2 linked regions of the Neodiprion lecontei genome follow. The protein of the gene in region 1 purifies or fractionates together with the protein of each later gene. This does not show direct contact. Links are inferred from orthologs where the notes say so. Each region holds a gene or a part of one and is shown on either strand. Other genes may lie near its edges.

Region 1 (5,537 bases):
GCCGCACAAAAAAAATTCTACCCTGTCTCGTCACAAATCATTCCATCATATACGATACTTACACATTGCTCAGATGTCGGCTTTCCAAGAAGTTTTTGCTGGTGATTCCACATCAGTTCTTGAACTTTCATCTGTTCATTTGCTCCCAAGTCCTCAATTGGTCGGGAGCAATCAATTTTAGTCAAATCTATGTGCGGCTCACCCTTAGTCAGAGCCTCCCACCATCTTTCGGTTGCTTTTTCCAAATGAACCTGTAGAATTTTGTTAGAGATCAATGGAATGCTGTCAAATCGTAATTGAAAAACGAACATCTTGGATTTCTTTTGCCGAAAGGAAGACGCTACTATTTTCTATTATCAGAAGATTCGCTACTAAATTTGAATAAAAGCTCCAAATCATATCAAATAAAATTGAAAGCTTACATGGACGTAGTACCCAGGTATAATGCACCACATAGATTCCTCTCTTTGCGTTTTAAAGCTGAGTTCTTCGTCGAAGGTAACGATCCATTCAGAGTCTGTAGCACCGTCAGAATATTTGTCCAGAGAATTATTTTCTCTAAGGCGTTCCGTTTTCACAGCTATTCTTATTTTTTGGGCAGTTATATCAACCCTCAAGTCTTTCGCCGATTCGATATTTGAAGGAATGTTGACAAGTGCATCAACGTCGCTTATCGTCTGCGACCAAGTGTAATTTTCTCTAACAGCTCCGTTATAGCTGTCAGATGGCTGTACCGGCGTTTTGTAAGTCTTTATCGGCTCATCGTCTATTTGGTTACTGCTGGTTTCGACTTCTACTTCAACTACTTCGGTAGGCTCCAGCAATTCTGAGGTTTGAGCCTGGGCCTCAGATCTGGACAGATTGTCAGCTTCAAATCTACTTTTCCACTTCCGATAGATTTTTAAGACTAAGTCTTCAGCAACCCCTGCTGGAAAACCCAACTTCTGGTCTTGTGTCGATTCAACGTAAAAGTCGGTGCTAAAAAGAATGAAACTGACAGTCTTGAATCATTATCAATTATTATGAATTCTGTTCTTAATCCAAGTACTCAAATGTTCAATTCAGGTACATTACCATCTGTACATAAATCCGAAGAACGTATTCAAAAAATTGGTTATGTTCAGTTCATCCTTCAAAATTTGTAAAAGTAACTCGTCGTGTTTCGACTCCATGACACAAACGCGGTTTGACAGTGACGTTTCTTCACAGATAAACCACAAACTATCGTCCGAAATATAGGTATTTAGGTAGCACGTGGATAAAGTTAAGCAGAAATGACGCTTCAGACAAACTTAGTTCTCCCGAATACCAGCGACAGCAGCACTAGCTGGATATTGAAGATATTGCACGCACTTTTGAACGCTACAAATCGACACACATAATTGTTTAATACATGTTGGCAAAACGAGAAAGAAATAATTCAACTCTTCGATTGAAATTAGATAAATTTCGAAAAATAACTGCCATAAATTTGAAAGTCATTGAAATAATTCGTTTCAGTTCTTCGACGGAATTTTGGAAGAAATAATGATATCCTTTTCGGAGAAGATTATTATCACGGAATAGGGGTCAACACTGAAACCCTCGCGTAGTTAAGGCTTACAATTAGAGCATACAGAGTTAAGGGCAGCACTGTTACAATAAGTTCTGCAGAGGCGAAAAAATATAATTCTTAGATTTACTTTTCATAAATGAATAACATTTACTTTAATGAATTATTTACCAAATCCCTCATTTCTCTTCGTAATATAGACAATTTACGCATGGATAAATTGTGGAAAACGTAAATATATTTTTATTATTTCGCAAATGTTGATAAACATAACTTTATTTTATTGCAACTTATCGTACGCCTCGTTCCGTGCACGGTTCCAACAAATATTATTTGGAACAATTGTTTGAATTAATTTTTTGTGTGTCAAACTGTCCATCTGCTGTATTTACTGTCGTAAAAATCATTTAAAATTTTTGGTACAGATAGATAATATGATTTTACGCTCGCAAAAGATCCTAGAACATTGGGATTTCATTTCGACAGCGAGAGCATCTCCATGAACGAAAGGAATCGATGAGACATTTTCGTCGTCAATTGTGTGAAGTGCGATACAAAAACGGTGTGAACTTAACGTGACGATTAGTCTTCTGTTTTGAACCTGTTTTGATTGAGAACAGTACTTGAAACAACAATGACGGAAGAGAAAGGTCTGACGCAGGAATACAAGCTCGAACCTGACTGCGAGCTGCGGTTCGAACTTGAACAAAAGAATGAAAAAGTTACTTTAGAGGTTAGAAAACTATATCATAGGTTTATTTACGTTTACTTAACACTGATTCTTGGTTGTTCTTCTCGACTTCAGCTTTTGTTCTTAACCCTCAAACGGTACGGTGGTTTGAAACGGAATATTCGGTACGGTTCGACCGTATGCAACGAGAGGGAAGAATAAGACCGAGAGAAATAGAACTGTGGGTCGGATCCGACCCCCAAAGTCCCGTTTGAGAGTTAAAACTGAACCACTCACAAATCGTTCAACGCGACAGTCGTTGAGATTAAAAAAAAAAAAAAGACGGCTATGTACATTTAAACCTTTTTATAATCTGTCCTCTGACTAATGAACATCGAACTATAAAATTCGTGTAACGATTTCAGCTGAAAAGCGGTCTTGCCGAAGTGTTTGGTACAGAACTAGTTAAAGGGAAAAAATACGAATTCTCTGCGGGTGCAAAACTCGCAGTGTTCACATGGCAAGGATGCGTCTTAGAACTGGTAGGAAAGACAGATGTGATCTACGTGGCCAAAGAGACGCCAATGGGTGTTTATCTCAACTGCCATGCAGCGATGGAGCGAATGCGTGAAACAGCAGAAAAAGAAGATACAGTTGGACCTATAACAATGGTAGTAGGGCCCGGAGATGTAGGAAAATCCACCTTCTGCAGACTGTTGCTAAATTATGCAGTTCGAATGGGGCGAAGACCTGTTTTCGTTGATCTCGACGTCGGTCAAGGTGACATAGCAATACCTGGAACAGTCGGAGCTTTATTAGTAGAAAGACCGGCAAACATTGTCGAAGGATTTAGTCAACAAGCCCCGCTTGTCTTTCACTTTGGTCACTCCAGTCCCAGCGCAAATACTGCGCTGTACAATCTTTTAGTTTCACGATTGGCTGAAGTATGTTCTGACAGACTTCAAGCCAACAAGAAAGCTAAGGCCTCAGGAATCGTTATAAACACTTGCGGCTGGATCAAGGGTGCTGGTTATAAACTACTGACTCATGCTGCACAGGCTTTTGAAGTGGACGCGATTTTAGTGCTCGATCAGGAGCGTCTCTATAATGAGCTAGTCAGAGATATGCCAGACTTTGTGAAGGTCGTTTTTCTCCCCAAAAGCGGCGGTGTTGTTGAGAGGAGTAAATCCTTAAGGACTGAATCGCGGGACAAAAGAGTTCGCGAGTACTTCTACGGTTTTCGAACTCCGCTCTACCCTCATAGCTTTGAAGTCAAATGGAGTGAAGCAAGGCTCTACAAGGTGGGAGCTCCGATGTTGCCAGCGTCATGTATGCCTCTAGGAATGAAAGCAGAAGATAATTTGACAAAACTGGTAGCCGTTAGCCCAGGTCCAAGTTTGCTGCATCACTTACTCTCAGTCTCATTTGCTGATTCCCCTGAAGATGACGTTGTGCAAACCAATGTGGCAGGCTTCGTATGCGTGTTCGTATTCATATTTACCCTTCGATCTAAGAAAGTGGCATGAATCTAATGATGTTTAGTAAATAATCAAATGTTTCAGAACTAACGTTGATGTCGAGAGGCAAACTTTTATGGTTTTGAGTCCACAACCAAGGCCGCTACCAAACACCGTCCTCCTTCTGTCTGATATACAATTTATGGATAGCCATTAAGCCATTGAGGGAATTTTACACTTGTATAAACGCTACTGAATATTTTTACCATACAAAAATATATATATTTTTATAGGTAACAGAACAAATGCATTTGAAGATATTTGAAACTTATATTGTGCAAATGATTTTATTGTTTACCACAGTCCTAAAATCATTAGGATGGTACAATCTGGCTAATGGAGCAATATTATTAGAGCTAAATTATAAATAGTTAGTGATACTATTAATTGTGAGCAGTATTTGATTTGTATTAATTAGCTCCATTTAGTATTTTTAAGGCACCTTCCTTACTCTTGGAGTAAAAACTCATGCAACTGAGTACTAATCGCTCAGCAAATGCCCTGAGCAAATTCTGCAGACAGCAGCCTCTGATTGCAACTGAGAACTTCTTAAAAAGCTCACTTTTATTTCCTCCAAAAAATTATCTATTTCGTTATATATGTCCTCAATTATCTCACGTGCAGTATCGAAGAAAAACTCTGCTAAATTATCACAGCGATCCATGTGACTAGCATCTATGCCTAAATCTGCAAACAGATTCTCGACTTTTGGTCTCACATACCCAATCCAAATATCGTACATTAATTTATCCATTGACTCCTTTGCAAATTCTTTGCTTTTTCTAAGAATATGTTGCGCAATGTTTGCGAGATTCGTAATTAAATTCGTACATTCAATGTCACTAAAGTTCTGCATGTCAATTACAAGCTTTCCAATATAATTCATGCTTTCAAAAGATATCGGAAATGATGCATAGTACGTGAAAGGTTTAAAACTTTCTCTAATCAAGCCAAGTTGCCTTACATAGTTCGCCACTGGCATTCTATTTGGAGATGGTATGGTACTCCGTGATACATGAAAAGGGTCTACAGCTCTCACAGTATTGACTCTTACTTGCTGTGTTTGCTGAGATAATTCAATGGGATCAAATTTTACATTGTGATTGATCATAGCATGACCATCTTTGAACGTAACTTCAGCATTCGACGACCTAAATACTTTATTGTTTCTAACAACTCCAGCAAAAAAATCATCTTTATTTTGAATCGATCGGATTCCACGAATGATCTCAGAGTCTCCGGTAATTTGATCGCCGCTACATGCCTGAGTGTTACATCTGATCTGTCTGAAAGCTTTTTTGTGTCTGTTACTTCTCAGTGACTGTTCATAATCTTGAAGCACTTGTTGCTGAGTATTATTGATTATAGTTTTAGCCGTATGAAAATTTATCACAGCGTTACCAAAGAACAATACGTGCGCTATTACTTGGGTTACATCAAGTACAGAAATTTCTTTTTTGTTGTGGTAATTCATATATATATTGTAGATTCCATTACCAATTCCCATACCATTTATAACTATATTACCGATAGTGATTACATTATATGTAGTTCGGCCCGCAGTTCCTATTGTCAGACCTGCCCGGACTGCCTTGTTCAAAATCATTGTAGACCCACTTGCTAAACCTCCTGCCACACCACCTACAACACCAAACCAAGCGGAACGTGCTGTTTCATCCATCACAGAGATAGACTGTTGGTGTTGATGGCGGTCTGCCAATTGCTGACCAGATCTGACCATTGCGCAGACCCCACTTACAGCACCGCAAACCGAACCTATGGTTGAAACATTTTATCA
Region 2 (6,054 bases), about 34 Mb from region 1:
TCCAGCACTTTTCAAAATCGCGAAAATTTTCGCCAAAAATGCAAAGGGGTTAGCCTTGCTTTTTTTTTAGCCGAAAAATTTTTGGTCCCAGATTCGATTTAAATGACCCTTTTCTGACCATCTGGACCCCTAGGAACTCAGAAAACGCAGCGAAAACAGCGTGGGATCAACAGGAGAGAAGTTACGAAGGAAAAAGCACCTGCTGAAAAATGTCGAAAACACAGGTTCTCGTTTTTCGGCTGTAACTTTTGATGCGTTGATCGCAGCGTATTGGGACTGCGCCCAATCGATTTCTCTCGCAAAACTACGTCGGAATGGTGCATGAAAGAATTTATTCCAGCACTTTTCAAAATCGCGAAAATTTTCGCCAAAAATGCAAAGGGGTTAGCCTTGCCTTTTTTTTAGCCGAAAAATTTTTGGTCCCTGATTCGATTTAAATGACCCTTTCCTGACCATTTGGACCCCTAGGAACTCAGAAAACGCAGCGAAAACAGCGTGGGATCAACAGGAGAGAAGTTACGAAGGAAAAAGCACCTGCTGAAAAATGTCGAAAACACAGGTTCTCGTTTTTCGGCTGTAACTTTTGATGCGTTGATCGCAGCGTATTGGGACTGCGCCCAATCGATTTCTCTCGCAAAACTACGTCGGAATTGTGCATGAAAGAATTTATTCCAGCACTTTTCAAAATCGCGAAAATTTTCGCCAAAAATGCTTTTTTTTTAGCCGAAAAATTTTTGGTCCCAGATTCGATTTAAATGACCCTTTCCTGACCATTTGGACCCCCAGGAACTCAGAAAACGCAGCGAAAACAGCGTGGGATCAACAGGAGAGAAGTTACGAAGGAAAAAGCACCTGCTGAAAAATGTCGAAAACACAGGTTCTCGTTTTTCGGCTGTAACTTTTGATGCGTTGATCGCAGCGTATTGGGACTGCGCCCAATCGATTTCTCTCGCAAAACTACGTCGGAATGGTGCATGAAAGAATTTATTCCAGCACTTTTCAAAATCGCGAAAATTTTCGCCAAAAATGCAAAGGGGTTAGCCTTGCTTTTTTTTTAGCCGAAAAATTTTTGGTCCCAGATTCGATTTAAATGACCCTTTCCTGACCATTTGGACCCCTAGGAACTCAGAAAACGCCGCGAAAACAGCGTGGGATCAACAGGAGAGAAGTTACGAAGGAAAAAGCACCTGTTGAAAAATGTCGAAAAATACGTGTGTCGTCATGGGCCGTAACTCTTGATCCGTTGCTCGCAACGTATTAGCACCAATTGTAAGATAGCACCACCTTCCTTTTTATTCCTTGAATTTATCGAAACTCAACGGTCTACTCTATTTAGCCTACGAAACAAACTGGTGAGATTTCATTTGTAACTCATCGAGATTACAAGTATGTGATATGCGATGCTGGGTGAACTGTGGTACTGGCATTTCCCATGAACAATTAAGTATGAATATTCAGTCGAGGATTGTTAGTGTCACCTTAGATGTGTTGAAATCAATCACATCAGGTGTTGTGATGCATTTATAATTCACCGCAATTCGGAAATGAAAAGACCGGACACGTATGTTAGTCACGTCAAAATACCTTATGTAGTCATCTTTCACTGATGACATAAGTACGCGAAATAAATACCAGGTTAATTTTCATTACCGTTTCATCATTCTATTCCAATAAACAATTTTTATCAGAAGTGGTGAAAAAACAACCGCCTGACGCATCGTATTTCTGCAACCTGCGATACACGAATCATTCGGATCCTGCATACACCGACCTGATGATGGCGGACCCTGTTTCACTTGTTGTTCACAATGAGTTTTGACGTTTACACCAGAGATGAGTTTCTGGTGTTACTCGGTAGGAGAATGCAGCCAGCATCATGTCGAAATCGGCCACTCTCAGATGTTCTGCAACAAGTTCTCAACTCTACCGTCGAAACATCTCTGGAGGCGCAAGCGCACAACGATTTTCGTTAGTCATACCAAAGTCCATTAGGGAAACTGTCTTTATATTGTTCAGTCAAGGCATGTACCGATCTGAAGATGGCGGACTCTGTCTCACTTGTGGTCGACAATGAATTTTGACGTTTTCACGTGAGGATTTTCTGTCACCTCCGCTGTTGCAGTTCAGACTTTATATTTACCACGCCATTTTAAACGCATGACAAACGTATAAGGCCCAGTGAGCATAATGTATAGCACGTGTCATCCAGCAGTGAGTACTTATTTATCGGTTGACATCTGGAAATTCGCATGTCAGGTGTTAGAATGTGGTCAGAATAAACATTCGCTCACTTCAAAACCACTTTCTACGTCAGAGACTACGGAAATTAACTAATACGCTCATTCTTTCAGTTTTGCGATATAGAAAAACTTGGCTGCACGAATGCTCTGCAAATCACGATTGCATTTCAAACATACATAGAACTGTGCGAAGGTATGGATATACTCACCGACTTGATTAAATAATTGTGATCCAACACATCAGACGAAAACGTCTGGTGGCAGAGAATCTACTATTCTAAGAGAGTTTCATCTAGTTATGAAAGTTTTATCTTATTTTTTTATTACGACACATGACTTCATGTAACAAAATGATGGTTGTTTGGCAGTTTTTTATACCACAATATTCGTATAATACGAATCTAAAACGATTGGTCCATTTCTCTTTGTTATTTTGGTATTTTATCGCTTAAGCATGCTCATATGTTTACTGCTAATTTGTCTTCAGGACAGAATTAAGAACGCTACTGTAGGTGTAACACGAAACATTCCTTTCATTTATGAATCTTGCAAAATCTAAAATTTCAAGTAGCACGTTTTATTTTCATTCCTATTACTGGTTTTAGTGAAACGGTTTTGGGACGTACAGTACAAGTATAACAAATCACTTGACTTGATCTATCTGGAAGCTTGTGCAACCAAATCATCTCCATTGCAAAAATACATTCCATGGCCAGCAGTAAATGCCATATCTTTGAATCATATCGAGCAAATGCAAAAGGAATTGAAGAGTGAACGGTAACTTTAGAACTTACTGGTACCATGTCTTCAATCATTTACTTGTTGCAGAGAATGGACTGACAATAATTTATATTGTTTGTAGATTGACACTGGTTTTCGTAGAGGGAGACAGTACCAGTATTTATTACTGTGTTTCAGCTGGACTTGTAAAACCGGCATCGCCAGAACAAAGCAAAGAGTACAAAAAGAGGCAAGAAAAGAAAATTGAATTGGAAAGTGAAATAAGAAAAAATGCTTCAAATCTCTATGAATTAGCTACTTCGGTAGAAAGTAAAGAGAGTCAAAGCAATCCTGAATTGTCTGCAGGGGATTGAAACGCACAGTTCATACTTGAAATATAAGTCAAGCAGAAGAATTGCTCCGTATAAAATTATTTAAAATAATTGCAGTCAAAGAGTTTTTTTTCCTTGTATTTATTGTATGCATAATTTTTCTTGGGCATATTATAAGTTTATAAATTTTAGAGTTATCACTAAAAACTACGCAATTAATTAATATAATATTGTATCAAGCTGCCACTGCAATTATACGTATCAAATAAATTAATACTTTAAAATCATCACGTAGGCATCATGGTTATTAGTTGTTTAGTATATAAACTATAAAGTATGAGGCACATAGTACAGTTTTCTTTGTCATAACAGGTATGTTGAATATTAGGGATAGTGTAATGAATGCATCACCGAACACATCTTAAGATTAAAACCTAACAATGTTATTAGGTAAATGTATGTAAAAATTGAGTAAGGAAACGTTTTTACTGTACTAGTAAAAACTTTCAAAACAAGAAGTTATATGACTATCTACAATTGAAGATTTATTGGGTATTTCATGTTGTAATTTATGTTATATACACCATACGAATTTGTTATTTCCCGAATACATGTTAATATGTGCTTCTTTTAGAGTCACGTGCAAATTATTTGATCGCGTAACTATACAGTTAAAAGTGGAAGTAATGGAACTCAACATTCAAAGTGATAAATCTTATTACTTGTTAAATAGACAGTTCAGTCATGATCGATAATTATTTAATGCTTCCTAAAATAGTAAACAACGATCAAAAAAATATGATGATTAATAATAATAAATCAATCGAGAAGATACCGTAACGTGAGTAGTTTGGTAAGAATTGCTCTAGCTTAGAAATAAACGGAAAGATTATTTGTTTCCCGGATAAGTGTTCAGTTTTGGCAGTTCAAAGTTGCGTCGATGATATAGAAGCAAAGTAGGTGAACAATGCCTGCAGAACAATATATTAGTATTTAGCTTATCAAGACGTGTTACTGTAATTATCAATAATTGTTGAAATTATTTCAACACGCATTCAAAAATTACAATTTTCTTCATATCAATGAATCGAGGTTGACATTAATACAAAAATCACATATGTATTAGAATAAACTATGTTCTTGGCAACAACTTATACTACGATTATGATTCATTATGTTGGATATGCAGTTAAAATGATTTTTCTTTTTTTTTTTTAATTTTATTTATATTAAAATTATTTTACTTTTGACGAATACGATCGTAATCTATATCTGATCGTTTACCTTCATTTTCTTATAAAGTATAGAATGTATCCTGTGAGATGATTTCTAAAAAGGTATTTAAATTAGGCCGCTAATTAATCATACCACAGTTGCCTAATCACCGAAGGTACAAAACTGGATTAAAACTCCATAATGGGTCCATCAGATGTTTTTATGATAAAGTATAACGTGAGCACCTCCTGATATTGATCAGTGTTGATTATAATATATTATAAAAATGCTTTATAAAATAGTTACCAAATAATTTTTATTTCTTATTTACCATTGTATTAATTTTTTAATGCAATAAGGCAACTATTCATCGAGATTTTCTCGAAACTATCACAAATATTTGCATTATTTTTATCGATCAATTTTTATTGTTTTTATTTACCAATATCTCACGGACAGTAATTTAAGAGAACTGAGCTTTTTGCTCAAGATAGAAAAGCAACTCCGAAATCACATTCAATATTGTTATAGAATATCAGATTGATTGGTATGAATTTACCAAAATAAGTCCTAGTTATTTAACATGGTTCTTGCATGATTTGTTTTTTTATGAGAAAAATTTTATAACTTCATCAAAATAATCCGTAACCTTGATCATTGCTTTGATTGTCAATTGTGAAAAGTAAAACTGATACCACATAACCTGGTCCAGATTTAATAGCTTAATAAAAAAATTGCCTTTGAAATGAGAAAGACTTGTGTTTGTAACAACTAATTATATTCTCAATTCTTATATTTTATCATACTACATAAAACATTTCTCAAGCCTGTAAATATTGTCAAAAGTGAATGTATTACATCAATGCACTTTGTAACTATGTTGGCATTTTCTGAATTAAACACATGAAACAAGCATGGACTACGTCGACTTTTTTCCCACAATTTTCGACACCTACCGTTCGAAAGTTCAATCTCCATTTGAAACCAATGCAAGGAAAATAAACAAAGAAAAAAAAAATAAATAAATAAATAATGAGCGACAATTGAGGGTCAATTTTTACTTTAGTGCTGTGATCTTGACAGCAAAATTCAAATTGTGCATTGATCAGTTATCAAACAGGCTGTGAGCAAATAGCATAATTATTATAACTTCCGTCCTAACGAGCAAGTTTTCTTTTGGCCAATACAGAGTTTATACACATACTTTCATAAAATTGAATTATACACTTTTGCTGGTAGAAATTTTATCTTTTTATAATTCAAAGGCAATATCTCATAATAATACAATTAGAGGACTTAATTTTTACATAATCAATAATCGCAAATGTGCAACTGTAGTTGAAAAAATAATATACAATTAATTGTTGATTCATGATTGTGTGTGAATTATTAACTATGTCGTACACATAGGAAAGAAAACGTGCTGGCGTGGAGAATATTACATTGGAATTACCTACGTGTTGGAAGCAAATTATATCACTGCAAAATAAATTTTGTGAATGAAACTTATAACTCTTATGCGAATGAACACTAGAAGACTACATAGT

The links.
Region 2: the proteins of protein CLP1 homolog (region 1) and uncharacterized protein LOC107227980 purify together in Homo sapiens (affinity purification with mass spectrometry; 4 studies listed by BioGRID and IntAct, counting the BioPlex papers as one, with this or other methods). This does not show direct contact. The link is inferred for Neodiprion lecontei from reciprocal best matches to the Homo sapiens genes CLP1 and TSEN15.

The regions. Positions count from the first base shown.
Region 1 is NC_060261.1:42,991,487-42,997,023, forward strand, and holds protein CLP1 homolog, read left to right. Parts: upstream 1-1,992; 5' UTR 1,993-2,186; coding exon 2,187-2,285; intron 2,286-2,315; exon of another isoform or gene 2,316-2,538; intron 2,539-2,647; coding exon 2,648-3,705; intron 3,706-3,784; coding exon 3,785-3,896; 3' UTR 3,897-4,220; downstream 4,221-5,537. Other genes in the region: nudC domain-containing protein 3, read right to left, coding at 63-251, 423-993, 1,075-1,172; uncharacterized protein LOC107216500, read right to left, coding at 4,221-5,515. UniProt on the Homo sapiens protein: Polynucleotide kinase that can phosphorylate the 5'-hydroxyl groups of double-stranded RNA (dsRNA), single-stranded RNA (ssRNA), double-stranded DNA (dsDNA) and double-stranded DNA:RNA hybrids. dsRNA is phosphorylated more efficiently than dsDNA, and the RNA component of a DNA:RNA hybrid is phosphorylated more efficiently than the DNA component.
Region 2 is NC_060261.1:8,991,222-8,997,275, forward strand, and holds uncharacterized protein LOC107227980, read left to right. Parts: upstream 1-1,992; 5' UTR 1,993-2,187; coding exon 2,188-2,211; intron 2,212-2,351; coding exon 2,352-2,433; intron 2,434-2,845; coding exon 2,846-3,017; intron 3,018-3,102; coding exon 3,103-3,334; 3' UTR 3,335-5,501; downstream 5,502-6,054. UniProt on the Homo sapiens protein: Non-catalytic subunit of the tRNA-splicing endonuclease complex, a complex responsible for identification and cleavage of the splice sites in pre-tRNA. It cleaves pre-tRNA at the 5' and 3' splice sites to release the intron.